Xenopus tropicalis: one gene and its partners. The protein of the gene in region 1 purifies or fractionates together with the protein of each later gene. This does not show direct contact. Links are inferred from orthologs where the notes say so. Each region holds a gene or a part of one and is shown in the gene's direction. Other genes may lie near its edges.

Region 1 (4,321 bases):
CAGCAGTGCAGGGAAGGGAAAGGGACAGACACAGTGACAGTTACACATAACTATAAACCCAGTGAGAATGAGGGATGAATGGATATTGGGGAGTTGTATCAGGAGTCAGAACCAGCAGTGCAGGGAAGGGAAAGGGACAGGCACAGTGACAGTTACACATAACTATAAACCCAGTGAGAATGAGGAATGAATGGATATTGGGGAGTTGTATCAGGAGTCAGAACCAGCAGTGCAGGGAAGGGAAAGGGACAGACACAGTGACAGTTACACATAACTATAAACCCAGTGAGAATGAGGAATGAATGGATATTGGGGAGTTGTATCAGGAGTCAGAACCAGCAGTGCAGGGAAGGGAAAGGGACAGACACAGTGACAGTTACACATAACTATAAACCCAGTGAGAATGAGGGATGAATGGATATTGGGGAGTTGTATCAGGAGTCAGAACCAGCAGTGCAGGGAAGGGAAAGGGACAGACACAGTGACAGTTACACATAACTATAAACCCAGTGAGAATGAGGAATGAATGGATATTGGGGAGTTGTATCAGGAGTCAGAACCAGCAGTGCAGGGAAGGGAAAGGGACAGACACAGTGACAGTTACACATAACTATAAACCCAGTGAGAATGAGGGATGAATGGGTATTGGGGAGTTGTATCAGGAGTCAGAACCAGCAGTGCAGGGAAGGGAAAGGGACAGACACAGTGACAGTTACACATAACTATAAACCCAGTGAGAATGAGGAATGAATGGGTATTGGGGAGTTGTATCAGGAGTCAGAACCAGCAGTGCAGGGAAGGGAAAGGGACAGACACAGTGACAGTTACACATAACTATAAACCCAGTGAGAATGAGGAATGAATGGGTATTGGGGAGTTGTATCAGGAGTCAGAACCAGCAGTGCAGGGAAGGGACCGATGCACCGGAGCCATTGGGCAGCCATATTGCTGTGTGTATGGGATATAATAGCGGGCAGCACATAGTGACTGGCAGAGAGGGAGCGGGCAGGATACTCACCGAGCAGAAAGGCTTCCGGTTCCTGGGCGGGGCGGGGCTATGCCGGTAAGTGCGCACAGATACTCAGTAAAGGCCCAGATAAAACTCTTTCAAACCAGAAAGCGCTCCCAGACCCGACTATACGTCATACAGGCGCGACAGGCCAGCGTCTAACACGTCACACACCAACGCGCAGGCGCCTTGCGCGTCAAGCTCTTGTCACTCGGATACCTAACGGATCTCCGCTCTCCACCAATCAAAGCGAGGCAGCTGACCGCCTGCAGCCAATCAGCGCTCGGAGCGGGTTAAAGGGATTTAAAAGCGGGCGATTTGAATCGGAGTGGGCTGTGACGGTTGGAGGAAGTGAGGCGAGTGTTCTGCCTGACGGGAAGCGGAGCTGTCGGTTTTGCGTCTGCCGCTAACCAGTGTCTGTCCGTGGCTTCAGCTGCTGCAATCCGGTCTGTGTGAGAGCTGCTAGAGTCCCGGCCCGCACATTCGGCTGCCAGGTGTGTGTGTGTGACTGGGCCAATGGGGAGCTTTGTTTCATATGGTTCGGGAGTGTTGTGTGAACTGAGTTATATATTCTGGGCTGTAACAGCTGCACCCTCTGTGCTTCAGCCATTGGTTATCTTTATGGGCCAATGAAACTGCATCTCCCAGTGGCACTGGCTCATGTGGGGCCCATACAGGCCTTAGTACTGCCCCCCCCCATATGTGTTTGTGTGGGGCCCATACAGGCCTTAGTATTGCCCCCCCCCCCCCCCCCATGTGTTTGTGTGGGGCCCATACAGGCCTTAGTATTTAGTGTTAATCCATGACTGAGTTTTGGGAGTTGGTAATGTGTGGGATTTTGGATTTGGGCTCCCAGTCTGGAGATGATTGCCCCCCCCCCCCCCAGCAGGAAAAAGGGTGATCCTTATCGTTCCAGGGGTACCCAGGGCACAAATAAGCACTCACCCCAAATCCCCCCCTAACTGGCCTTCAGGCTGGGCCCCCTTAGCCCATAACAAGGTTACAGATATATAGAAACATTGGGGTAACAGTCACCCTGCTATAGTTCCAGGGGTACCCAGGGCACAAATAAGCACTCACCCCAAATCCCCCCCCTAACTGGCCTTCAGGCTGGGCCCCCTTAGCCCATAACAAGGTTACAGATATATAGAAACATTGGGGTAACAGTCACCCTGCTATAGTTCCAGGGGTACCCAGGGCACAAATAAGCACTCACCCCAAATCCCCCCCTAACTGGCCTTCAGGCTGGGCCCCCTTAGCCCATAACAAGGTTACAGATATATAGAAACATTGGGGTAACAGTCACCCTGCTATAGTTCCAGGGGTACCCAGGGCACAAATAAGCACTCACCCCAAATCCCCCCCCCTAACTGGCCTTCAGGCTGGGCCCCCTTAGCCCATAACAAGGTTACAGATATATAGAAACATTGGGGTAACAGTCACCCCGCTATAGTTCCAGGGGTACCCAGGGCACAAATAAGCACTCACCCCAAATCCCCCCTAACTGGCCTTCAGGCTGGGCCCCCTTAGCCCATAACAAGGTTACAGATATATAGAAACATTGGGGTAACAGTCACCCCGCTATAGTTCCAGGGTACCCAGGGCACAAATAAGCACTCACCCCAAATCCCCCCTAACTGGCCTTCAGGCTGGGCCCCCTTAGCCCATAACAAGGTTACAGATATATAGAAACATTGGGGTAACAGTCACCCTGCTATAGTTCCAGGGGTACCCAGGGCACAAATAAGCACTCACCCCAAATCCCCCCCCTAACTGGCCTTCAGGCTGGGCCCCCTTAGCCCATAACAAGGTTACAGATATATAGAAACATTGGGGTAACAGTCACCCCGCTATAGTTCCAGGGGTACCCAGGGCACAAATAAGCACTCACCCCAAATCCCCCCCTAACTGGCCTTCAGGCTGGGCCCCCTTAGCCCATAACAAGGTTACAGATATATAGAAACATTGGGGTAACAGTCACCCCGCTATAGTTCCAGGGGTACCATGGGCCTAATAAGATTACTCACTCACCCCAAATCTCTCTAAGCATAAGAACTTGCAATGTTTGCTCGGTTTCTATTGACGGTTTATATAACTGAATATGTTGGTGACAGGCACATATAATGGAACGGGCTGTTAAAGAGAATCTTCCTTCTAATGTCAAGGTAAGTCTTTATCTGCCCAAGTTACTAAGCACTTGGGGAGCCACTATTTCTTTTTGTATTTAAGTTCCCCTGCGCCTCAGTAGGTGATTATCTTTATCGCTGTGAGATGTAAACTGTTGAGATGTGTAGTTCAGTAACTCGATCACACTGGAAGGCAGAAGGAGGGAATACTTGCCCTTGCGCCGGTAACACGACGTTCCTCTGCCTGCGCCACAAAATGCTCAGTTTAATGTCTGTAAAAGTCTTTTGGGTTTCTCTCTTTAATGTTATGCATTCTCCCTGGTAATAAAGAACTGTCAGACTACTGACCATAGTCTGTGCTAAGAAATTCCCAGCATCCTTAGCTGCCCAGGGAAGTTGTTTCCCAGAGATCTTTACATCCATGGTTTGGCATTTGATTATTCTTACTAAGGTTTCTCTTTTTCTTTACTGTAGGTTTTCCACCCCACAATGGAGGGTCCCAAACGTATCCCAGTTACCCAGCCTCCGAGCACCCAGGTTAGACCTCCTGGGACTGCCGTCTCTGCCCAGAGGATATTGGGTCCCTCCAATGTGCCACAGCGAGTCGTGTCTCAGGCTCAGAAACCTGTTATGTCCGCTCAGAAACCTGTTATGTCCACTCAGAAGCCAATGACTCAGGGGCCACTGAGGCCAGTAACTCATGGGCATCAGGCTGGCAAACCACAGGGACCAAATGAGAATCGTACTCCACAGCAGACCAGCCATTCCTCCAGTAAGTGCCCTGGGACTTGAGAGCTTACTGCAATAGCCTCTGGCCGGTGGCTGTGTTCTTCGGGCCGCGTTGCCTCTGGCCGGTGGCTGTGTGCTTCGGGCCGCGTTGCCTCTGGCCGGTGGCTGTGTGCTTTGGGCCGCGTTGCCTCTGGCCGGTGGCTGTGTGCTTTGGGCCGCGTTGCCTCTGGCCGGTGGCTGTGTGCTTTGGGCCGCGTTGCCTCTGGCCGGTGGCTGTGTGCTTTGGGCCGCGTTGCCTCTGGCCGGTGGCTGTGTGCTTTGGGCCGCGTTGCCTCTGGCCGGTGGCTGTGTGCTTTGGGCCGCGTTGCCTCTGGCCGGTGGCTGTGTGCTTTGGGCCGCGTTGCCTCTGGCCGGTGGCTGTGTGCTTTGGGCCGCGTTGCCTCTGGCCGGTGGCTGT
Region 2 (3,579 bases), on another chromosome or scaffold:
CTTAGGGTGACAGGTCCCCTTTTATGAATCAGATAAGTGAGTGTAGGACTGGCCAGATTGGGGATGACTTTGACGCAGCTTGAAGTATATTGCAATATATGGACAAACAATCCCTGTTTTGCTTAAAGGGGTGGGCATTGTTTGGTGAGTGCAGAGCATCTCTTGTTGTTTTTAATTTAGTTTTAATTTAATTTGTGGTCACAGCCTCATTGCACCCCCACCTAATGGTTTTAAATATAGTGGTGAGCACAACTTTCCCTTTTTTGCTATACTAACAAACCTGGGCAATTTGCTCAAGAAGAATGTACATAATGACATAAAATGTAGCAGCTAAAGGTATAAATGGTATCATTGTAGCATTTTGTAGCTGAAGTTATTTTATTATTAGCCAGCCTAATGTTTAAACTTCTGTTTTTAACTTATTCTGCGTTCCATTTAAAATAAATCAGTTGTCAAAACTATACAAAGAACTACAAGCTTGGGTACTTTCATTCCTGTAAGTAATTTATTTTTCTGTAAAAAAAAAAAAAAAAAATCTCTTGCTGTGCGGTATGTTGCAATACAGAAGGTATATACTGTATGTAATGGCTCTTGGAAAACAAGTGCAGAAGTAAAGTGCATGTGTAACACCAACCAGTTAGAATTAAGGTTCCTTATTCTGTAAGCTAAGCCAGAGAAACTGTCTTCTATATTGCAGGCCAAGAGGGATCAGATTGTGAATCTGAAAGCAGAAAAACTAAGCCTGGAAAGCAGTCTGCAGGAGGAGAAAAGTCAGAGGCAAACATTGCAGTGCAAACTTAACCAGGAATCAGATGCCAGACAGGTACTACCCCCAGAACCCCCATACTCTGGGAGGCCATACTTTACTGGAAGCTTATTATTTGAACTAGAACAATGTTTAGTTAGTAATGGACACTGTAGAAAGATGGAGGTAAACTATATCGACAAGCCTGAGTCTGATTCTAGTGTTGGCATCGTGTGACCTTGGATAAAGTAGTTATTAAATGTAGCCATACATTCTTTGAATGCAGTGGTCAGTTGGACCAAGACAAAGCATGACAATGCTTGTGTTTTGCATATATGTTTTATAAGGAGCTCAATAGATGCCCAACACAGACTGCCTTCTTCAATGTACATCATTATACCATGATTTTCCTCTTTTCCCTAAATGCATCAGGCATTTTGAAAATACAGCGTTGTGTATTTTCACATAATAAAGTTGTCTTTTTGTCCTCTGCATCTAAACTTTTGCCATAAGAATCTTGCTCAATTAGAGCTTCTCTGAACCAGAAAGGTGTGATAAAATAACAGCATTTATACAGTGCTGCGGAATATGTTGGCGCTTTATAAATAAATGTTAATAATAATAATGTTAATAATTTATAAATCTGGGAAAAGTTATTTCCAGCAATGAATCTACTGCAGTTCCTTATCTGTCTACCACGGTACAGGTACAGTTATCCGAGAACAGACGAGAGCTGAGTGAATTGAAATCTGCCCTAAAAGTTGCACAGATGGAGAAGGAGCAACTGAGAGAGGAAAGGCAGGTGAGACATTTACCGCCATATCTCCATTACTTGCCTGTCATCAAGCATCTGCTCTGCAGAAGTAAGTGCCACATGTGGGTAATGGAGCAAGGCAGCACAAGCAGAAATGCTGATACCTTTTGTATAGCAACCTATGGGATGGTGGTTTTTAGTTACATTACTTCTGATTTAATATACATTCATCTAATTAAACACTTGTCTAAAACATTTCATTTTTATGCTTACTTAACCACTAACAACTATACAGAACAATAGAAATATACATCTATATTTATATATATATATATATATATATATTGTGTGTATATATATATATATATATATATTGTGTGTATATATATATATATATATATTGTGTGTATATATATATATATATATATAACACAAAGTACTGTTTTATTATTACAGAGAAAATTGAAATAATATCTAAAGTTTCTGAGCTTTCTGCATAATGGTTTTCCAGATAAGGAATCTCATACCTTTATTTGATCTTATTAATGACATGTCTCATGGTTTACCTTCTTTGTTCTTTTTTTGTTTTAGGAAATGCTCCAGTATGTTCATAGGCTGGAAGAACGGCTAGACAAGCTGGCTGATGAGAAATGGAAAGAAGAAGAGATACTTATGGAAGAAACAACAGCAGACCTAAGTATGCACTTAAGTGCCCTCTGTATGATTTAACATTTACCCCTTGTTGTCCTAGATTTCATTTATTGGCTAGTTTTTAAATATGTCTATTATTGTTCTGTGCATGATGCCTTAGAGAAGATGCGGTTGCTTATCTTATGTACTGGTGACATGCAACCTTGGCAGCTGCAGTGTTTGTACAGTGGCTGTTATGGTGTTCTAGAAGTTTCTAGATCAGCAGCAGGTTGAAGCTGTAGGTTAAAAACTGCTACTTGTTCATGTATTATACGTGATAAGTTACTATTTACATTTGTAGGTGTTCCTGTAACTAATTGCTTTTTTGTGTAAATAAAAACAGGTTATTAGTCATGCTATCTACCATCTGATAATAGGAAGGGATAGTAGGGACGGAGAGAAAATGTTTATGCCACTTGGAAAGTAATGTTAGTTTGGCAAGTGAAGCTGCAGAGGGATTATAGTTCAGATTATTATTTTTGTTGATCGCCTTGAATGTGAGTATTTACAGAGAATGGTTTAAAAGTAGAGGCTGTTTAGAACTGTCTGATGTTTTGTGTACCTTCTGTACAGGTCCTCCTACTTCACCAGTGGATCTTTCTGATTCAGATGATGAATCTTCAGGGGATGAGAGAGAATCTCAGAAGCTTGGAGCATGTTCCTTTGATAAAGAGGACATCTCCTTGGACATACCGTTGTTTCCATGTGAGCCTCAGAAGGTGGTGATAAACCAACCTGCACCGATTGCTTGTCAACTGCAGCCTCTCCCTGAGGACAATGTTGATTCAGTGAGTAATACTTGTTTGACTGTGTTCATTCAGCAAAATGAACTTGCATGACTCTACAATGACTATAACTTGCAAACACAACAATTGGTAACAAAGATATATGCTCTTACCTCTGTACACAAATACTAACAGGAGATAAGGTGGGCCTATAACAAATGAAGTACCTTCAGTGAACACCATTAGAGCAACTGCACTTGTGTGGATTAAGGTAAAAATCTACCAAATATTCATACAGTGCTTTCCATTATAATTTCCATAAGCAGATATAGGGGTGAGATACTAGAAAACATATTAGGGTATAGAAAAAAGACAAATAGAAAGCATTGCACTCAACAGCACTCAAAAAGGCTTTATTTAAATCCCAACATTTTGGTCACACTTAGTGACCTTTCTCAAGGGAAACAAACAATTAAGTGATTCCCTGTCCTGAGTGCAGTGCTTTCTATCTTTATTACTATCTTCATTTGCACCCAGGCAGCTGTTTTATTACATTTGAGTGTTCCTTTCAGTACTATATATATAAGTCTTATAGAGAAGAATAGATCTTCTAGAAACCAGGAACAGTTTCTGAAGGATGAGAGAATAAACATCAGTGGCCTAAG
Region 3 (4,294 bases), on another chromosome or scaffold:
CCCTAAGGCTCATGGTGTAGTGCAACCTTCCCTTACCTTGTTCTATTGTGAACGGATGAATTCTGAGACTTAAAGTCCTCCTTCTTTCGAGAGAATCTCTGCACCATCATCTACCGGGTGTGGGGAACCAATCCCTGCAAGCTCAGACAGATTCTTACTGTTCCCTTTCACTCTGTGGAATCATGTATGTCTGTGTAAAAAATTAAATTATTAATACAAATGAATGAACTCATGTCAAATAGGCGGTATCATTTCCTTTTTAAAAAAAAAAAAAAAAAAAGGCTTTTTAGCATTAGCTCAGGTTTTATCTTCAACTCGGTATTCACCATTAGAGTGCTAAGGACACAGCAGGTAAGCACAAACTGCTAACATTCTATAGACCTGCATGTGCCAATGCAATCTCCAACACCTAAACAATTAAGGGCATTTATTTATAAAGCATCACCATTCTCCATAGCACAGGCTTAAATGTAACAATTTAACAATTTTGTTTAAAAACAAATCTTGAAATAAAGTCCCAAAAGTATAATGAATCCTTAATTCTATCCTACAGACTCTGTCCTGACTCCTTTCTGAATGTAGAAAGTATGTGCTACCCAGTGCTCATTAAAGCCCATGTGCCAAACAGACTATGCAAACTTTGTACTATTTATATTAGCATTCAGTTGCTCCAAACATTTTTTTTATCCATGCATTAGTCTTGGTCCGTGGGAATAAAGGCAATTTTCAACTCTTCTGATGAAATTAATATCATTAAAGTTATTGCTGGAGTATAGCACTAGAATGTACTGGGGACTATGATTTCTATGGCTATGGACAGTAATATATAACTATAGCAATAAGTCAAATCAACTAGACTTTTTTTTTTTTAGAGAACTGAATGAATGAGACCCTTCTCAGACAGACAGTAATATATACTGGTAACTATGACTATAACCTGAAGATACCATCCATCCCTACATCATGGGGAGAGGGCTCATTTTGGAATCTCTCGCCTCAAGGCATTGTTCCCCCAGTAGGCACCTATCCCTGGGTGATTGTGCCCCACACCTGCCTGTCCACGTTCGTGTGCTGTCCGTTCTAATTAAATTCCTGTCTCCCCCCCCCCCCCATTCTGCAGCTCGATCCTCATCGGAAGCGATATGTATAAGGCACCCCGGCTCATTTAGATCACTGTTGCTGAACACTGCAACCACTCAGTGTATGACACAAGAAACTATAATTCGGCAATAGACTGAAAATCAGAGAAACCGCTGGAGCTAATCGTACGGAGTCTCACTGACCTTACTAACGTAGGCGGTACATGCACCTGCGAGCACCAGGCTGAATACACTCCGCCGCTGCTTTCCCCACCATAACATAACTGTAGCGGCTAGTAACAGTAGCCTCCTACTTCCGTCTCCCACGTATGACATCAAGCCGCTGCGACGACTGCTGCCCTGGTTGTTGCTGAGCGACTGACGTCATCCCGGCGCGCCCTCTCTCTCCCTCTCCTCCCGTGCCTGTCTCTCGGCGAGAAGCCTTCCTTCCGTGAGCTGCGTGCCTGCCCGTGTGGGCTCCAGGAAAGGCAGCGAATGCCCCCGACTAGTCATTCCACCCAGGTAACTGGCCGCTGGCCACCGCCGGGACTTGATCGCTTTAAAGAAATAGTGTAGTGTGTGGGGGAATAATTTAAAGTAGTACATTAGTGGATGTAGATTTGTATTTACTTGCCCTGCTACAGGGACACAAAACTACCTTCTCTCTAGCTGTGTTTAACTACAACTCCCAGAATCCGTCCAGGAATTCTGGGAGTTGTAGTTTTACAGTTGACGAGCCGCACTTTGAAGACCACTGCTGTACTCAGTATAGACTTGTAGGCAACTCTTTATTGGGAGATTGTGTAGTGTGCAAGTGTTGTAAGTATTAACTCCCATATGCACAGTATAGCTCTGTGTATATTGTGTATTTATACACACACACAATTATACCTCTGTATCCTGTATATCTGTGCATACTATGAAATCCAAAACATTGCCTCAAGACTCTAGAACTACAGAAGTGGACTTTTTGGAAGTGGAATTTATTTACACCAAACCAGCCTGTAGGGGTACTTGGGCTTCTGCCTGTGACACACATTACTGAACTGCAAGTTGCCTAATTCATCCTTTTCTTGCCCAAAGTAAGTGGGTAGTACTAATGCTTAGGCATGCTGTGCTCACAGTACTAATCTTGGGGCAACACCCTATGCAAACCATTGTAAGAGAAGTCTGATGGTGAGAACATTCCCACTTAGTGCTCAGACTCATGTAAGGGACTTGTCACACTAGAACCCAGCTTTGTGTTGTCTTTAGTCTGTGCTGCTCCATTTAGCTGTTTTCATATGGGGGATTAGAGTGAAACTTTATTTAAAGATAAGGTTACTTATGTGTATAAGCTAGTGATGCACTGAATCCAGGATTTGGTGCAGGATTCTGCCAAGATCTGACCTTTTATATCCATATTTGGCCAAATCCATGCCTCTGGCCAAAACGAATTAGAATCCATCACACGGAAGTTGAAAAATTTTCATGCACGGTTCTCTTCAACCCTTCCTTATTCTAATATGCATATACAAATTAGGATTTGGTTCAGTATTTGGACAAATCTTTCGCAAACAATTCAGGGGTTCAGGCAGATTATAAAATAGTGGATTTGGTGCATCCCTAGTGTAAGCATTTACTGTAATAGGATTGAAAGGCAGAGGATGCCAAATTGCAGTAACATAAAGTATGGGATGCAATAAAACTTGAATTTTGTATAAAAGAATTTGTTATATATATAATTAACTCCAGTCTTTAGTGTGGACAAAATTTTGCCCGTCCTAAAATAAACTTTTCGTGTTGTATTCTTTCTGAATTATTTACCACATTCTTCCAAATTGCAGCTGGAAAAGCTACCTAGTTACAGGGTCACTGACCCGCAATAGAAACATGGACTATTAGACTTTAATTTGAATGTTCCTGTTTTTTGAATTATTGGTCTATGTTTTCAGAGCCTCTTCTGTTCCTAAAACATTCTGAATTCCAAATGTCTACCTGGTTGAAAGGTTAATTGAACCCTAGTTTAAGGTTTATTTAAGTGAAATACCAAAGATTAAATACAACCTGGACCCTTTATAAAGCACTTTTATTCCTGGATTATGTGTATATTAAAAAAAGCTCTTACTAAAGATGTATATACTGTTTTTAGGGCATGAATGTACCTACTAATAGCATAAATTAAGCTCCTGGTGGTCACTTGTGATTGACAGTAGATTGCTGAAATCTGCTTGTCACCCCTAGTTTTGATGATGATAATCAAAGGTGTAGTGGTTCTCTGCTCTGTTACTAGAGTGAAATAAAGTTACACCTGTTGGGGTTATGGCACATGGTGAAGGGACCTGCTTTTTTCATTTCTCTGTTAGAAGTCACTGAGACAAAACACAAAGATTGTCAGTGCTATCATTTATGGCACATGTAATGGAAACTGAGAGACTTTCTCTTTTCTGAGAGCTTTTAATGGAGCTGCTGCTTTCTGACTCTTGAAATTTGGAACTGAGGCAGAAGCAACATGCACTACACACAATTATATTTGTGTAGGCATGCCCATCACAGGGGTATGTATTGTAGGGTAATTATTTTCATTTATATGCCGTGTAATAAGTTTCCCTCTACACATTTAGTGGCAGTGCAGTTAAACACAGCCTTGTTGAACCAAATATGAGAAAAAACCCCACAAATTATTGGCATTAAATAAATGTAGAGCATTAAGATGGCTTTAGGTAATATAGAGCACATGTAGCAAAAAATTGTCTTCTGGACCGGGCCACATGTTCAGTACTCCCTATTATTAGATAACTCTTTACTAATTTATATTACAGTAGGTGGAAAATGCCTGTATTATATTTAGCAATGTAATTTACATTCATGACATGTATAGGGGTGTCTTTTTCATTCTAAGCAGTTGCTCCAGGTTTGTATAAAGTATATAAACTGCCTTCTGTGTTATTAATGCAAAGAGGCCAAGCCTTCAAAAAAGAAAAAAAGTTGTCCAGCACAGCTATAGCTGCAGTACTGCTCCCAGAATGAGAATGCTCTGTGTGGCATTTTTAGGTTTTTAGTTCAACACAAACAGTAGGAGGGCTACAGCATTAACCTTCCTCACCAGTACAACAGGCTGCATGCTGCCGGCGCTGCTACTATGGTTTACCACAAAGTGCTGTTTCAATAGTATGCATCTGTATAGTAGCAAATGATTATCAATAGAAGTGAGTAGAAACTGCAAGTTAACTCAA
Region 4 (3,579 bases), on another chromosome or scaffold:
TTCAGTTATATTTCTTGCAGATTTTAAAATGTATGAACATGCTTTTTTTTTTACATTATTGGAGTTTCATGGGAATTAGAAGCTCTTAAATGTATCCCGCTGTGACCCAACCTTAAATAATGATTTTGTTTCATAGATTGTACAGTATTTCAAGTGGTAAACAAGAGAAGATTCTTAAAAGCTCTCCAAATGGAGGGGCATTACTAAAGGTAATGTACCTTCAATGTACCTTCAAAAATGGAATAACTCTAAATATGCCATATGTTTACATACATGGGGCATTTTACATTTATGCAAATGTAAATGCAAAAGATCCTTTGAAAGTGATCATGGATTTAGAACTGTAAATAAGCATTTTAGTAGAGTATCAATACAATAGATCGAGCAGGATTCTGTAGGTAACTGTGTTAAATAGCCAAACATAGAATCATAAGTTCCCTCCTTTAGAGTAAAAATGCCTTTTTAATATATGCCTTCTAATGTCTTTGCAACTTTATGATATAAGTCATGGATGTATATTTACCTTCAAAATGGCCACATCCTTGACACTCTTAAGATGAAGACACGCTGGGTATCACTGACCCCATTAGCCTGTTTGATGCCATCGATGTTTCTGCATTGAATTCAGGCAGTAATATGACCTACTTCACCAGGGAAAACTGAGCTTTGCCTATGCTTTGAATTTCCAATATTGAAAATATAACATTTGCAAGCGATGCTGAAAACAATAGTTCACGCTTAACTACCATCAGGGTTGACAACTTTTTTGGAATAAAAATACAGACCTTCCTATATTTTTACATCTTCCCTATTAATAACATGGGCATCAAACACGGTTTAACTAGCCAGGCTGGTAAAATACCAGCCAAGAGGCAAACCTACCTACCAATATACTTTTTTGGCACAAAGGTTTTGACTGTATAATAAAAAATGGCCACAAAGGCAAACTCACAATTATTTCATCAAAACAAAAAACTGACCACAAAAGAAATCTTGATCTAACCTTATCACGTAATTTTGTTATACTTTTCCTGTAACAGGAGATGACAGGACATGAAAGTGTTATTGCTTGAAAATCATTTGCCCTCTTTTGCAGTAGTTTCTCCCATGAGTTATAAAATGAGCACTACAGTGGTTACCAATTTGTTTTTAGTAAGGGTTAAATATATATTAGTTTGGGGCAGTACAAAGTACGGTTTTATTATAATAGAGAAAAAGGAAACCAATTTTAAAAATCTGACGTATTTGATTCCATAATTTGGAGCTTTCAGGATAACTGGTTTCCGGATAACGGATCCCATACCTGTACAGGTAAAGGACCTGTTATCTAGAATGCTCAGGACCAAGGGTATTCCCGATAAGGGGTCTTTCCATAATTTGGATCTTTATACCGTAAGTCTACTAAGAAATCAATAAAACATTAATTAAAACTAATAGGATAATTCTGCATCCAGTAAGGATTAATTATATCTTAGTTGGGATGAAATACAAAGTACTGTTTTATTATTACAGAGAAAAAGGAAATCAATTTAAAAAATCTGAATTATTTGATTAAAATGGGAGACGGGCTTTCGGTAATTCGGAGCTTTCTGGATATCAGTTTTGCCGATAAGGGATCCCATACCTGTATATCTATTTATAACCTTGCCTTGAGAAAGCTTTATGCAAAACGCACATTGGTGGGAATCTTTGATTTTATAGTGAATTTCTGTAATTGAGTAATCCCTACCTTTTAATACAAACCAGTACAGTATAATTTCAGGGGGTTGCTGGGAAATTTTCAGTGATATGCATGTGCTTCAGTTCTCATTCTCCTTTTCTTAATCCAAGGGGACCTGGATTTGTGGTTTTTCAGGCAAGATAGTTCTCTCTATTGAAGTAGGGAAGGGAATACATGAGACCACAGTCTCTGGCATCCTGCCTTCTCCTTCTTGTCCCATGTATTCTATAGCAATTCCAAAGAGAGAGTAGTTTTGGGGACACCTCTACCTTCTAGAAATTTCCTATTTCCTAACTTTTATCCGGATGAAATACAGGTCCAATTTATTTTTGTGGCAATTAATTCTCATTTTAATTGGAGCATTGGCACTTTTCAACAGTGGATTAAGTTAATTAACTCCTTCAACTTCAAGTGGCATGATCACTTTATGGTAGTTAATCAGTTGCTATAGATTATATTGTTATTGATTAATCATTAATAATTTTATATATTGATTTATGTGGGTAATTTTTCATTTTAATTAGAGCACTGGCACTCTTTATCAATGAATCAAGTTAATAAACTTCAATTTTAATTGGCATGAGCACTTTTTGGTAGTCAATAAATTGTTTTATATTATATTGTGATTGATTAATCATTAATCTGTACCTTTTGCAATTGAGGCACGTGTCACTTTATTAGTAGTTGGGTAACAGTACTTTGTAATGCTTTTATAATTTAATTACTTGGGATTGATGGGAAATCCAGAGGGGTTAAATTTACTCTTTTCTCTTTTTCGACTTATTTATATTCTCATTAGGTCAGGAATCTTCATTTTATACCATGTTTGCCGCAATGTTGCTAAAAAGCGAGGGGAAATAGTAAAATGTGGGATGTCTTAAGTAATTAAAAATATGTGCTTGCCATTGGCATGTTTTATAATTGGACCAAGGAAATAAGCTGAGAATAAGTTCTAATGGATCCATTTTAATCCTTTCATTATATTAGGTGCAAATTGATCCCTCTGGAACATTTTTTACAACTAGTTGCTCCAGTAAGAACATATCCTTCTTTGATTTGCTATCTGGAGAATGTATAGCAGAGGTATATGGCCATTCAGGTTAGTAGTACTTACATTGCATTTCTATTTATACATTTCCTTGTGCTAACAAGAAAGAAAAAGAAATAGTGCAAAAGTAAAAAATAACACATTAGCTATGTTAACACTGAGGTCCATATCCAAATCCTGAATGTTTTTACAGTACATGTATTTAATGGATAATGCAGTGCAGCTGGGTTGGTGACCAATCTGTTTGGCCATGCACATCCTGTTTAAGACTCTGATCTGGTCCTAGCATTCAGGGTACACGCTTCTTCTCAAATATTGCAACTGTGGAGCTACATGGGCAAACATTGCAGCCACCAACCCAGTTATGCAGTTCTGCAACTGGAGGGACAGGGAAATTTTGTTTTATGAATCCATGTAATTTGGTTAGGGAGGGAGCAGTGGACTAAACTGGGGCCCTGTGGTCTAAGTCTAATGGCAAATAGTGGATCTCCCACCTATGGTTTTCTATAATTAGCAATATAAAACTGCAACTATTCATAGTGGTTTTAAAGCTATTTGTAAATGCAGTCCTGATCTTTCTGTTCTCTGGGCCTATCTATAAAAAAAAAAAAAATCTGTTTCTTTTAATTAGCTGGCATGCAGCAATACAGAAGTCATAGGCAAGGATGCAGGAATATATGCATTAACACATACCATTTTGAATGAATACATATTATAAAAGTTGCTTAGAGTTATATTTTCTTTTATGATTTTCTTTCACAGTTCCACCTTAACATTTTACAATAACGTGTCATTTTTTTAAGCACATTGT
Region 5 (4,269 bases), on another chromosome or scaffold:
CCCTTATACTGTTTAGACTGGGCCTCTATAATTTATAAATGCGCATAGTGATTAAAACATGGGGAATTAGTGGTCATAGAAATGATTCTGAAACAAATTTTGGTTTCTCTAAGAAACAAACACTACTAGTGGGGAAAGAACATTTGCCTTTTATCATGGCACTATTTTCTGTTACTTTTCAGACTGATGCTTGCCCATTAGTTGCAAACAAATATCATGGTGTCAGAATGCATTTCATGTGTTATTGGAGAATCTTCACACTGAGACGGTAACTGACATTTTTGTTTTCATATGATTTCTTCCAGTAAGATTAACAACACACTGCAGTTATGTGCAAGATGCTCAAGGGTATTAAACCTTATAGCGGTTTAATGTGTATTTCCTGCATGAAGTTCTTCTCTCAGTATCTGCCTAGTCACAACTAAAAAAAATTCCTAGTATAATATATGTATGTATGTATGTATATCTTTATTTATAAAGCGCTACTTATGTACGCAGCACTGTACAGTAGAATACATTAATACAAACAGGGTGTTAATAAGATAATAATAGATAAATAGATAAAATATATCTTATATATATTTTTTTTTTTATATCTCTCAAGTCAATACAATAATTAAACATAGTGAAAAATAGCAAAGTAGCTTTTGACAAAGTAGCTAAATGATAGATATGCAAATTCTAAGTGATAGTTAAAAGGGGGGTTTACCTTCAGGTTACCTTTTAGTATGTAATAGAAAGGCCTTTCAATTGGTCTTCATTTTTTATTCATAGTTTTTTGTTTTTTTTTTATTATTTGCCATCCTGACTCTTTCCAGCTCTGTAAGGCTGCAGTTTATTGTAATTGTTATTTTTTATTACTAATCTTTCTATTTAGACCCTCCTGTATTCATATTTCTGTCTCTTAAACCACGGCCTGGTTGCTAGCTTAAATTAGACCCTAGCAACTAGATAGCTTCCGAAATTCCAAATTCTCCAAAACTGGAGAACTGTTAAAAACAAAGCTATAAATAATTTGAAAACCACAAATTATAAAGACCAATTGTAAACTGTCTCAGAATAGCAGTCTCTACATATCATACTAAAAGTTACGGTAATCTAATGGTGAAAACGCCTTTAACAATATATAGATTATCCAATACTCTGGACATCAATTAGTATTACATAATTTATCCCCCTTGTTCCAAATTGAATATGATGATGTTTTTGATCTATCACAGGTAAAGGTTTATGGTAAATCAAATAGCCTTTACTGTGAGTTAAGTGTCTTGCTCACCATGAAATGTCATTTGTGTAGATCATTTGTCCATCCAAATCAGCAGTATGGTTTTTTTTAGTTAATGTTTGTTCTTTTGTTTCTCTTACAGAAAACAACAAGTAGGCAAATTACAATGATTTAAGTCACTGGATTTATGAGAGCCCTGCATTTTGCAGACCCTCAGCATGGCAGGCCTTCAGCTCATGACTCCGGCCTCCTCTCCAATGGGTCCCTTCTTTGGGCTACCCTGGCAACAGGAGGCTATTCATGACAACATTTATACCCCACGGAAATATCAGGTATGATTACTGGACATCCCCCCCAGGTGGTGATGGTTACTGTTTGTCAGAAAAACCTTTATTCTGTAAAGAACAGAATCATTGCAGTGGTTTTATTTAGTCTTGTTTTATTTGATCTTCTATAGTTAGTGAAAGGATACATTTCCACATATTTACATTTGTGTGTGTATAGTTTTTGTTCTCTGTGAGCAATAAAAAAAAAAATTGATTGGCCTGTACTGACAATCCACAATAGGCCATCTTGTAATCTGTACATTGCCTAGGGTCAAGGAACATATTAAATCGGTTTGCTTTGGCTCATGGCATGGTTAGAGAAAGTTGGCATTCAATAGAGCCATTCCTTTGTCAATCCCTGAAAAATCTCTGCAAATCTTGTTGTATATTTTGCTGTATTTACAATCTTGCTGTATATGACCAACTTCACCAAGATTCCAAAACAAAGTTGACTGTGCATGCTAAGATTTTGACTAACCTCTGAGCATGTATGACAGATTGGTTCATGGTAGATCTGAAAATTTTAGTCAGTTGAGTGAAAAGTAAGCAAAGGTGATCCAGAATAATGGTTGTATCTACATGTTCAGTGTGGTCTCTTACAATCTGTTGTTCCTCATACTGGATAATCAGATATGTGCATTTTTTTGTCTGCAGGTTCATTTGTATATGACTAGCTTTACAACAAAGCTGTTATTGAACTACTTGCATCTTATTATTACAGGGTACTGCTAGATAATGTTTGTACCACCTCATGTTTTTACAGAGAACTTACAGTAAAAAAAACCTAATTTATCATATTGTCCTATTCCAGGTGGAACTACTCGAAGCAGCATTGGATCATAATACTATAGTATGTTTGAATTCTGGCTCAGGGAAGACATTTATTGCAGTACTACTCAGTAAAGAGCTGTCATACCAGATCCGTGGGGACTTCAGCAAAAATACTAAGAGGACTGTGTTTTTGGTCAATTCCGGTAAAGACATTTCAAATATTACAAGGTTACCAAGAAGACAAATTGTAGACATATATATAAATTATTTAAAAAGTAATTTTTCAGTTATTTTGCAGAAATTACAGAAGTTTTGTGTGCGTGCACTAAAACCCATTGCACGCAGAGCGGATCGGCGGTCTCTGTGTAAAACTTTGCTTTTGTGTTTTCAGGCCAACCGCCGCTCCAATCTGTGTGTGCACACTTGGGCTCTTGCCATAAGTTTTAGTGCACGCTCACAGAGCTGTGTACGGAAGTGGATCCACTTCTCTCAGCTAGGCTGAAAAGTGCAGGGCTGAGAGAAACGGATATACGCTTTGTCTGCCCTCACCCTTAGGAGTGCCATGACCTGATTAAAATCACTTGGCCTTCGGCTTCATGCATTTAAGCGTTCATGGAACTTCTCAGTTACTTATAATTTAAAATAGGTGGTACTTTATTCACTGTATATTTTTTTTTTTTTTTTTTTTTTAGTTCTTTTAATCACATTGTATCAGCCATCTTGCAACACTGTACAGAAAATGTAAACAAGCACATCTTTTTTTCAGTAGCAAATACGTTTGTAGGTATCTTTTAAAACTTTGACGGTTAGTACAATTTCCACCTCTATTCAAAAAAAGTAGTTATTAAGGGGGTACCCCTTTAAGACAAGCTGTTGTCTGAATTTTGTCTTGAATATGTTACAATGGAGCGTTGTCACTGATTGCATCTGAGTATAGTTAATGGGAATCACATTAGATCATAGTTTAGCTGTACCTATTATACAGTATTGGAAATTACTGACCTCTGAAAGTTATGTTGAGTAAAGTAGTGGTGACAAAATAAGGCAACCTATCATGTTTGGCTTTAACCTTAAATAGCAATACCAAAGTTAAGCTAATCATAATCAGTAGAGAAATTGCAGGAAAGTTAATTAATGGATATTATCTGGCGTCTTGGGTCTCGTGGCTTTTCCTGTACTACCTATAAAATTTGTCTGCTATAACGCATTGTGGTGATCAGTCTTTCATGTGTATAAAATATTTAACTTTTATATTTTAAATTTCAGAGAAACAGGTTTCTCAACAAGTGTCTGCTGTCAGGACCCATACAGACCTCAAGGTGGGAGAATATTCAGATCAAGAAAAAACACAATGCTGGGCAAAAGAAAGATGGTACCTAGAATTTGAAACTCATCAGGTAATTTTATTGTTCTGTTTAAGGAAATGGAATGCACAATTGTTGTCTGTATAAGAGATATAACGTATAAGAGTTTATTTACTGTTAAATGATCAGTGCATTTACAGAGATTTTAAAACAAAACTTCCTCTTAAAAGACAAGGAAAGCCTATAGGGGTCGTTTACTATACCCTGGGGTGCAAGTTGCCGCCCCTTTAATGCTCACTTATTTAAATGATCTTTGGGTTCAAATCTATCTAAGAGGCTTTCTGGTCCATTTTTCTTACTCCAAATGCATTAAAGTCAATGGGTGGGGTTTTTTTTTTTTTTTTTTTTTTTGTGGGGACTTTTTTTGTCTTGGCCACTTTTCTCTTGGAGACTTTTTTTTTTTTCTCAGTTTTTGTCGCAGTTTTGCAAATAAATTTTCTGATGTCGAAATGCGTCATTTCACTGCAAATCCATACTTAGTGAAAAAATGTGCTCATCACTGATGGTGCTCCAAGTTATGGAAAGATTCTTTATCTGGGAAAGCCCCAGGTCAGGTCCTGGCTATCAAATCCAATATTACATG
Region 6 (4,252 bases), on another chromosome or scaffold:
ATGCTTTTACAGTTGTATTTATTTAGTAATGTGATATTTGTTTCATTTCAATTTACTTTGTATATTGTTGGAATTTAAAAAGCATTATGAGCTTTGGCTCATGATGCCTGAAATGAATATATATATACCTTGCCTTGAGGTATCTACTGTGAAATTAACCACTGGTGAACTGCTGGGAGCTTTGTATTCATTCTAATAAAAATCTTAAAGAAACAATCCCCTTTTGTGACAATACTATGAAATAAAAAAAAGTAAAGGGGTCAGTTAGAAAGGCCCTTGGCACAGATGCAAGAGCACTAAAGGGCACAAGGGCTTATCTACCGAGCACTTGTGTCCAAAGTTGTGCTGTTTTTTGCAGGGAGCACCAGATCAAACATTTAGAATGGTGTTAGGCTGTTGGCAGCCTAGTCCTAACTTTCTACAACATATTTATTTCAATACTGGTGTAGAGATTTCAATTAACACTAAGTTGGTAGGGTAATAATTATTCACCCTGGACTAGTTGAGACACTGGTCTCCTGATCTTCAGGTGTCTGGGTTTCCACTGGCCAAGAAATTGCCAAACCTCCTGGCTGGCCCTGGCCCTGGCCAATGTACAGAAGCATTGATACCTGCACGTTTCTTCTTGCGTTACTAAGCCAGAAAGCATGAAGTCAGGGAGTACAATTATTTGGGGCAAAGGCTTCTGCAACTACTGAGAAAAAACAGCAATTAATGTATTAAATGTGACAGCTTAGGCAGCAGCACTGCCATCAGATGGGACAGAGGGAAATTTGGTCAGGGGCCTGATAGCAAGGGCTTCTCACAAGAGCTGATCTGAGACTTTTGGGCTAGTGGGTGAAGTCTGGGCTGATTGTGGACAACTTGGCAAAAATGGGAGTGAATTCGGGTTTTTTTGGAGCTCCATTGTACTTTTTTGCAGGATCCACTGCTCAGGTGTCAAGGAGTAGCCCCATAATTACTGATGGCAACCCTGTTAGGAGGCTACCAAAAGGTATTTCTGTGTATTAGTTGAAAACAATAAATTTAGCTGACGTGAAGTAGCCATATCTATTTTTATTTTACGTGTATCGTTTTTTCAAAATTACTAAGTATTTCACTTTGTTTTGGAAATTACACCTCATTCAAATATCATTTACAAAACCTAGAAACCCACAGAATGATCAAAGACAATGTCACTGGATCTTTTTTAAAACAAAAACAACCCTCACACGTGTAATGCATTCCTAAAACCGATAACGGTTACCATTTTTTATATACGCAGTACTAACTTTTGGCACTAGAGAAAAAATAGTCCTAGCTCGCAAATACGGCCAAATTTCAGAAACGGCTGGCGCAATGAAACACAGCGTGGGTTGAGATTTGACTGTACGTGCTATCGCCTGGGTCTTTAAAATGTACCAGGTCGTGCATAGATATTCATGCGCGGGCCGGCAGGGGAGGAGGTGGCGCCATTTTGTCAGGTTCTTGGGAGTCTGTAGCGGAAGACGAGCGAGGGGGATTGAAAAGCCGCTGCGGCGCCAAGACTGCCCCCTGCCCGGTTTCCAGTACGTTTGGGCTTCTGTTTTTATTGCGACAGTTTACTGGGTCCGCCATTTAGACTTTCGGAGCAATGGCAGATGTTGACAAGCTTAACATCGACAGCATCATACAGCGACTGTTAGAAGGTGAGGATGGTACTCGGGAAGGCCTGGCCGGGTTTCCTTACACTCTGTCACTTTACTTTCATGTGGTGGCAGGGTTGAAAGGGTTGCCATTAGCTATGTATGTGAGTGAGCAATGATGTATACACGGTGTTATTATTGGGGCAGCGGGGTTTGTAGCATCCTGGCTGGGCTCCTTGTGCTGAGATTGATATGGCAGTTGGAGCGGCTGTCAGCCTGCAGTTGCGTTACGGAGCCGTTACCGGAACAGGACTTTATTCTATACTCCGGTACATACAGGGTGCCGCTCTGATTGCTCATAGTATATATCTAGTTAATCAGGCTGTTGTACGAGTTATTGGCCGGACTGGCCCAATATACATTGTATAGAGGCGATCCGCTGGCTCCTAGCCGCTGCATGTGTATTCCATGTGCAGAATCCGGATTCACCCAGTATATCCGATCCTTAACACTGCGCAGCGCTCCATACACCTGGGAATCGCAGCGATCCGTATAGGGACCAAGGTGCTTCAGACTTTAGATTGAACTATGATTATTGCTCACTCCATAGGGGGCATGTTGTGCATTAGCTGATTATTTCCATTTGCCTTAGTTGACCTTCATAACTGTGTATATTGCCAATAGGTGGGGGTTATCCTGACCCTGTGCCACAGCTGTGCTGCTCTCACTCGCAGCTTTACTGATGCACTATATGGGGGAGTTGGAAGAATAGATTGTGTCATTTTGTGTAGTTTGCCTTTAGTTATGGGCAATGGGTGAGCAGCAATGACTGGATCTATTTTCATTTGTTGTTCTCATTAGTAAATTAATGCTGATGTGGTGTGACTTTAATGAGGAAATGTAAGCTACTAGCTCTGTGTAGAGGTGCCATTACATTTTCTTTTTTTTTTCTCTAACACTTTTTGCTCCTCGGTTCTCTATTTGGCAACTTAGGCTGCAATTCCCTTGTGGGGTTACAGGTCCTTGCAACCAGTTACTTGTTTAAAGGGCAACTGTGATAGGAAAATTGTTTACGGCTAATAGACCCTGCAACTCGGGTGGAAGAAAGCAATACTATTAGTGGGCATCTATTTATGGTATATAGTCTATATACATATATTTATGTATATGTAATGAGTTAACTGACTTACTCATTGTGAACATTCCTGTTGTGATGCACGCATTCGCATGAATGTGCCAGCTTATGTTTAGGCTCCAAATATGGCTGCCCACTTTACACTACCTCCTGGTGTGGACAGCATAGCCCTATTACATACAAAGCCAAAGTGTTTTTTGGGGCAAAATGTATAGTTTGCCCCAACCAGAATGCAGGCTTAATTAGCCCATATTTTCTGCGGTGAATGCAATTTTCTTGTTTTCTTTCTACTTCAAATTGAAGTACAAATAGTGAGTAAAAAAGGACATAATAAAAGCCTTGCAATGATTCTGAATTCCTAGTTCACTGACTTGCATTCACATGGCATTTTAGACCTTCAACTGTGAATATAAAGTAAATAAAAGTCAAGATTTTAATTGTATAAATCTGCAGCATACTAAATGTTAATGACTAAAATTCTGTAGGCTGATATGCTAATGTATTTGTAAGGGCAAAATATAAGTGGTTGTGTCCAGACAAGACAATGAAACCTTGTTGCTCCTATATTTTACATATATTAAAGGGGCATTATACCCAGTTTTCACCAGTAAAAAAAACATTGGCTGAGCTGGAAAAGAAAAAGGGGGTCAGCAAAAATATTTGCTTGCCCCAACACTCCAGCTGAAACCGAAGTTCTCTTGCTGTAGGCGATCAGATTCTTCAAACAACTGTCGTACCACCTTCTGTAACTATTAGTCTAATATTTAGGCGCAGGCCGAGCAAGGCTGGATTCCACCCAGCAAAAAACACATGGGGAACAATAATACCTCCTTTCTCAACATTTGTTTAATAAATAGGGGCTGAATATACTTATGTCTTTTGTTTTAATTGTGAAAAATCTCATTTTTATTTTGTGAGCTAAACAGGAAAACTGAAGCTATTCCATGTTTGGTCCTTGCGAGGTAGATTTTTAAAAATTGAAATGGGCAAAAAGTGTTCCGTAGAAGACCTATTTATTGATCTATTGTTAAACAAGGGGGGATACTGCACCTTTTAATGGAGACATATTGGATTTTTGAAAGTCACTCTCGTGTTGGTAACAATGAATAATATATGGTGCCTGATTCAGTGCCCTTAAGTGTTTACTCTGAAAATGTCACATTTAGAGAAGCTACCCATAGATCCTCTTGTCTATTACAAATGAGATGTGGGCTTGTCCTGACTTCTCCAATTTAAATATTGTGGAACGACCTAACTTAAACTGTTCATGTGAGGAAACCCACAAACATCCAAAAGCTGAAGCTGTTCTGTATAGAGGAATGGGCTAAAATTCGATGTGCAGGACTGATCAACGTTTGCTACAAACATAAAACATGTTTACATTTACTAATTCACGAACGCTCCGAGCGTATTTTTGGTGACTTTTTCGTACTTTGCGACAAAATTTGTGCGACAAAATCGTATTGTCGCGCTGAGTAAGAACGTTTTGGATACATTCAAGCTTTGGTATCGT
Region 7 (4,250 bases), on another chromosome or scaffold:
AACTTTTTTTTTGAGGTTCGCTACATCCCTAGTTGCTAGGGTAAACTGCACCCTAATTCCGAAATGGTGAGGCGCATCAGTGGCATAACTAGTTGGCATTGTAATCACAACAAAAATATACGTTTAACTCCTAAATTGGAAGCAAATACGTTTAAGCATACCCCCCAACTGTCCCGCTTTTCGCGGGACAGTCCCGGTTTTTACAGCGCGTCCCGCTGTCCCGGATTGTTCAATCAATGTCCCGCATTACAGAAATGCAGAACATTCATTAAACTATCCAGGTCAGCGGGACGCGCTGGCTGCAGCGGAGCGCTCCGGCTCCGTCTCTTCTTGGGCTCCTGCTCCTTATTCGGCTCTTCGTACGGCGGCGACAGATCCTTTTATAAGGTTGCGCCCGTGCGTACGTGTGATGTCACACGTACGCACGGGCACAACCTTATAAAAGGTCCTGTCACCGCCGTACGAAGAGCCGAATAAGGAGCAGGAGCCGCAAGAAGTCTATGGGGGCCGCTATGTATGGGGGCATTTTCTATTGGAGGTACTCACTATGGGGGCAATTGGGGGGCTCTGTGTATGGGGGGTACTGTGTATGGGGGGCATTGTATGGGGGGACACTGTGTAAGGAGGGCTACTGTGTATGGGGGGCACTGTGTATGGGGGGCACTGTGTATGGGGGGGCTCTGTGTATGGGGGGGGCTCTGTGTAAGCAGGGCTACTGTGTATGGGGGGGCTCTGTGTATGGGGGGCTCTGTGTAAGGAGGGCTACTGTGTATGGGGGGGCTCTGTGTATGGGGGGCTCTGAGTATGGGGGGGCACTGAGTATGGGGGGGCACTGTGTATGGGGTGCACTGTGTATGGGGGTGCTGTCTATTGGGCCATTGTGGGCACTATTTTAACTATTTTAAAAATGGGGTGTGGTAATTGGGGGCGTGGTCACAAAGTGGGCGTGGTCAAAAAATTGCCAATTTTCCAATCCAGCCCATATGGAATCTATAGAATGTGTCTATGGATACTGAGCATTGTCTTGGCAAACGTGTTCTATAGCAGCTCAATATCTATAAACAAAATATAATATAACTACATAAGGCAAATTTTTCAGGCGATGCTTTGTTCATTTTAATGTTTAATGTTTGTTTAAGAAAAACAAATAGAAAACAAGACGTGCTAATAAGTATTTTCTAATAAAAAAAATCTTTCAAGGCGTAAGCCTAAAAACTTCTCCTGAGTAGATTTTTAGCTGGTTTTGTCTTACAGATCTCTCTTTGGTGCCGTTTGAGGCCCTTGAAACGTCAGTAATGGCCCTAACGAGACACGTCTAAATAAAGTTAATTGAAAGAGAACGTTTATGCTGCCTGATCGACCAGGAAGAACGTAACCAGGAAGTGAGCTACCGAACCGGAAGTGACATTTTGCCCGGTGCCTCCCGCCCAAGTAGATACTTTGCTGCTCAAAATGGCGCCGCTGGACCTGGATAAGTATGTGGAGATTGCCCGGCAATGCAAATATCTTCCTGAAAATGACCTGAAGGTGAGTTGCGGCTCCGCCAAGACCTATGAATGGTTTTCGTATTAGTGATATCTGATTACAGCCTTGCAGAGACGGGACGTCCATGATACAGTCTTTTTGCCTTCTGGTGATTGCTTCAGCGTTTGCTTAATGGAGATCTCCCCAATAACAGTTTTTGCATAGTGTGTATGCATGATATGTATTTCTTCTCAGTAAGCTTACTTGTCAATGTTATTTTAATACAAACCCTCCCGTTTCTGCGCTTATGATTTTTTTTTTTTTTTTTTACGACTGTAGCAGAAGTTAGTTTTCCTGCAGGACTACTGACTTCTACACTCTTTCAAGAGTCAGAAATTCGACCAGGCAGGCACTGCAGACAAATAACTGTAAAACTATTGAATGTTTTAATGAATAGATCTATTGTTTTACTTTTTTTATGTGAAAACTGCCTTTTTAACACTTGTGTGCCAGTGTACGTTCGCCTAAGGATTATAGCTACATAGTCAAACTCTGTGTAGAAAGATTCAAACACAATACACGTGAGGGTAGTCAGTTTCAGTAGGACATATTAGGGCTGGGCGATATACCGTTTAATACCGAATACCGTTGTTTTTTTTTTTTTTTTTTAAACTATATTTTTCAGATACCGCAATACCGGGGTGTCAGGGTACTCCTTGCGTGCGCGCGTGTCCTGTTGTCCGTGGGACGTTGCGCACGCGTGTCCAGGTGCGCACGTACATGTCAAAGCGCACGTACATGTCAAAGCGCACGTACATGTCAAAGCGCACGTACATGTCAAAGCGCACGTACATGTCAAAGCGCACGTACATGTCAAAGCGCACGTACATGTCAAAGCGTGCACGTACATGTCAAAGCGTGCACGTCCATGATGCGCTGACGGCGCCGGTCCTGCGCATGCATGGGGGGTATTTAAAGCCGATCCTTCACTTGCCTGATTTTCAATACTGCAGTAATTATTCTCTAATTTATTAGGAAATGGGGTTAACACCTAATCATGCATGGGGGGAAAAAAATACCGTCAAATACCGTGACACCGATATAATTTTGAAAAATACCGTGATATAAATTTTTGGTCATACCGCCCAGCTCTAGGACATATGTCCATTGGTGGATTTAATGGACTACCGCTGTCACCCTCCTCTTTAGAATGGTACCTTCTGTAACTGAACTTAGAAATTGTCGTCCTTAGTATTTTATATGGATATTTTTTTTGTAACTGTGGTTATTAATGCAACTTTTTAGAGCGAGATCTGTAGGCCACTATTATGTTTTGTTTTTTTTTATGTTCAACTGGAGTCTCGTGTGACTGGGGATTTTAATGAGCCCCAGTTAAAGGTCTCTGTTTTAGATTTAAAAGATTGTAGCAGTGTTTACCACTCTGGAGAAGTAGATTTGGCACCGAGATTTGCCGAAGTTGCCTTGAGAGGAAACTTCGGTGACTGGCAAACCACGGCGCCATGTATGCCATCCCACTGGCGATTAAAATTCTAGGTGGTGGGATGGCATTGCGGGGAGATTAGTCGCCTGCAACAGCGGAGATTTGTCGCGGCACGACTAATCTTCCTGTGTGTCACGGCCCTTAGGGTAGTGGCTGATAGAGAGATTAATTGCCCCACGACAAATCTTCATTACCGCAGGCGACTAATCTCCCTGCAGTGCCATCCCACTGGAATGGAAGAATGTAAATCGCCAGTGGGATGGCATACGCGTCGCTATGATTTACCGAAGTCACCTGAAGTTTCTTAAGGCAATGCCATCCCACCGGCAAGAATGTAAATTGCCGGTGGGATGGTATAGAGGTCTCTACAATTTCCCAATATTGCCTTGAGAGGAAACTTCAGGCAACGTCGGGAAATTGTAGTGATGTGTATGCCATCCTGGCAATTTACATTCTTGCCGGTGGGATGGCATTGCGGGGAGATTAGTTACCTGTGACTAATCTCCCCGTCTGCCACTGCCATTAGCTCAAGACTTTGTGTCGAAATATATCCGCGCTATGGTAAACAAATTCTAAACAATTCTATTTAAATGTTAAAAATCACTCAGTGGTCACTGTGCAGCCATCCTCCAACTAATCCCCAGTGTTGCAGAACCATAAATCACCACAGAGTTCGCGCTCGGTGGGATGGCATTGCGGGGAGATTAGTTACCTGTGACTAATCTCCCCGTCTGCCACTGCCATTAGCTCAAGACTTATCAATCATTATCACCTATGACTAAATTTGTTGCCGGACTGCCCAGAATCAGGTGATCGTGCAAGGTTTTGATCTAATAACACATTGTCCTGCCAGTTTCACGGTGACTTCAAGGAAGCTTGAGAGACACGTGGTTAGAATTGGGCAGAATGCCTTATTTGCATCTCTAGATACTGGAAGCCTATTTTTAATGTTAACTAGGAAAATATTTGGTGTGACACTGTGGTTGGTACAGCAGAGTTTTACTATATCTCCACCATATTGGAATCTTATACAAAGTGAGTTTGAAAACAGCTGCCCCAAGGGCAGTGTATTCTTGGCTAGAATAAAAACCACCTTTCCTCTCCAAACTTTTTTTTACTGGTAAGCCACACTCAAATCTAAAAAGTGTTGGTGGAGCCACATAAGTATGAAAAAAGTTAATGGGTCTAACTAAGTAAGCGCTGGGATTGGCTGCTTGGTAGCCCCATGTGGACTGCCAGCTTGAAGCTCTGTGTACAGTAAACTAGTGTCTTTTAAAGCCAAACT

What was found.
Region 2: the proteins of aurka (region 1) and calcoco1 purify together in Homo sapiens (affinity purification with mass spectrometry; 3 studies listed by BioGRID and IntAct, counting the BioPlex papers as one, with this or other methods). This does not show direct contact. The link is inferred for Xenopus tropicalis from reciprocal best matches to the Homo sapiens genes AURKA and CALCOCO1.
Region 3: the proteins of aurka (region 1) and fbxw7 purify together in Homo sapiens (affinity purification with western blotting; 5 studies listed by BioGRID). This does not show direct contact. The link is inferred for Xenopus tropicalis from reciprocal best matches to the Homo sapiens genes AURKA and FBXW7.
Region 4: the proteins of aurka (region 1) and wdr62 purify together in Homo sapiens (affinity purification with mass spectrometry; 3 studies listed by BioGRID and IntAct, counting the BioPlex papers as one, with this or other methods). This does not show direct contact. The link is inferred for Xenopus tropicalis from reciprocal best matches to the Homo sapiens genes AURKA and WDR62.
Region 5: the proteins of aurka (region 1) and dicer1 purify together in Homo sapiens (affinity purification with mass spectrometry; 4 studies listed by BioGRID and IntAct, counting the BioPlex papers as one, with this or other methods). This does not show direct contact. The link is inferred for Xenopus tropicalis from reciprocal best matches to the Homo sapiens genes AURKA and DICER1.
Region 6: the proteins of aurka (region 1) and ppp1cc purify together in Homo sapiens (affinity purification with mass spectrometry; 3 studies listed by BioGRID, with this or other methods). This does not show direct contact. The link is inferred for Xenopus tropicalis from reciprocal best matches to the Homo sapiens genes AURKA and PPP1CC.
Region 7: the proteins of aurka (region 1) and ppp6c purify together in Homo sapiens (affinity purification with mass spectrometry; 4 studies listed by BioGRID and IntAct, with this or other methods). This does not show direct contact. The link is inferred for Xenopus tropicalis from reciprocal best matches to the Homo sapiens genes AURKA and PPP6C.

The regions. Positions count from the first base shown.
Region 1 is NC_030686.2:6,087,842-6,092,162, forward strand, and holds the start of aurka (aurora kinase A), read left to right. Parts: upstream 1-1,448; 5' UTR 1,449-1,503; intron 1,504-3,123; 5' UTR 3,124-3,132; coding exon 3,133-3,174; intron 3,175-3,609; coding exon 3,610-3,907; intron 3,908-4,321. UniProt on the Homo sapiens protein: Mitotic serine/threonine kinase that contributes to the regulation of cell cycle progression.
Region 2 is NC_030678.2:146,549,842-146,553,420, forward strand, and holds part of calcoco1 (calcium-binding and coiled-coil domain-containing protein 1), read left to right. Parts: intron 1-697; coding exon 698-823; intron 824-1,451; coding exon 1,452-1,547; intron 1,548-2,090; coding exon 2,091-2,196; intron 2,197-2,762; coding exon 2,763-2,977; intron 2,978-3,579. UniProt on the Homo sapiens protein: Functions as a coactivator for aryl hydrocarbon and nuclear receptors (NR). Recruited to promoters through its contact with the N-terminal basic helix-loop-helix-Per-Arnt-Sim (PAS) domain of transcription factors or coactivators, such as NCOA2.
Region 3 is NC_030677.2:55,438,877-55,443,170, forward strand, and holds the start of fbxw7 (F-box/WD repeat-containing protein 7), read left to right. Parts: upstream 1-1,472; 5' UTR 1,473-1,601; intron 1,602-4,294. UniProt on the Homo sapiens protein: Substrate recognition component of a SCF (SKP1-CUL1-F-box protein) E3 ubiquitin-protein ligase complex which mediates the ubiquitination and subsequent proteasomal degradation of target proteins.
Region 4 is NC_030684.2:76,019,685-76,023,263, forward strand, and holds part of wdr62 (WD repeat-containing protein 62), read left to right. Parts: intron 1-136; coding exon 137-209; intron 210-2,707; coding exon 2,708-2,819; intron 2,820-3,579. UniProt on the Homo sapiens protein: Required for cerebral cortical development. Plays a role in neuronal proliferation and migration.
Region 5 is NC_030684.2:88,606,358-88,610,626, reverse strand, and holds the start of dicer1 (endoribonuclease Dicer), read left to right. Parts: upstream 1-1,443; coding exon 1,444-1,557; intron 1,558-2,362; coding exon 2,363-2,525; intron 2,526-3,588; coding exon 3,589-3,719; intron 3,720-4,269. UniProt on the Homo sapiens protein: Double-stranded RNA (dsRNA) endoribonuclease playing a central role in short dsRNA-mediated post-transcriptional gene silencing.
Region 6 is NC_030677.2:162,953,115-162,957,366, reverse strand, and holds the start of ppp1cc (serine/threonine-protein phosphatase PP1-gamma catalytic subunit), read left to right. Parts: upstream 1-1,434; 5' UTR 1,435-1,612; coding exon 1,613-1,667; intron 1,668-4,252. UniProt on the Homo sapiens protein: Protein phosphatase that associates with over 200 regulatory proteins to form highly specific holoenzymes which dephosphorylate hundreds of biological targets.
Region 7 is NC_030684.2:28,173,679-28,177,928, reverse strand, and holds the start of ppp6c (serine/threonine-protein phosphatase 6 catalytic subunit), read left to right. Parts: upstream 1-1,418; 5' UTR 1,419-1,452; coding exon 1,453-1,527; intron 1,528-4,250.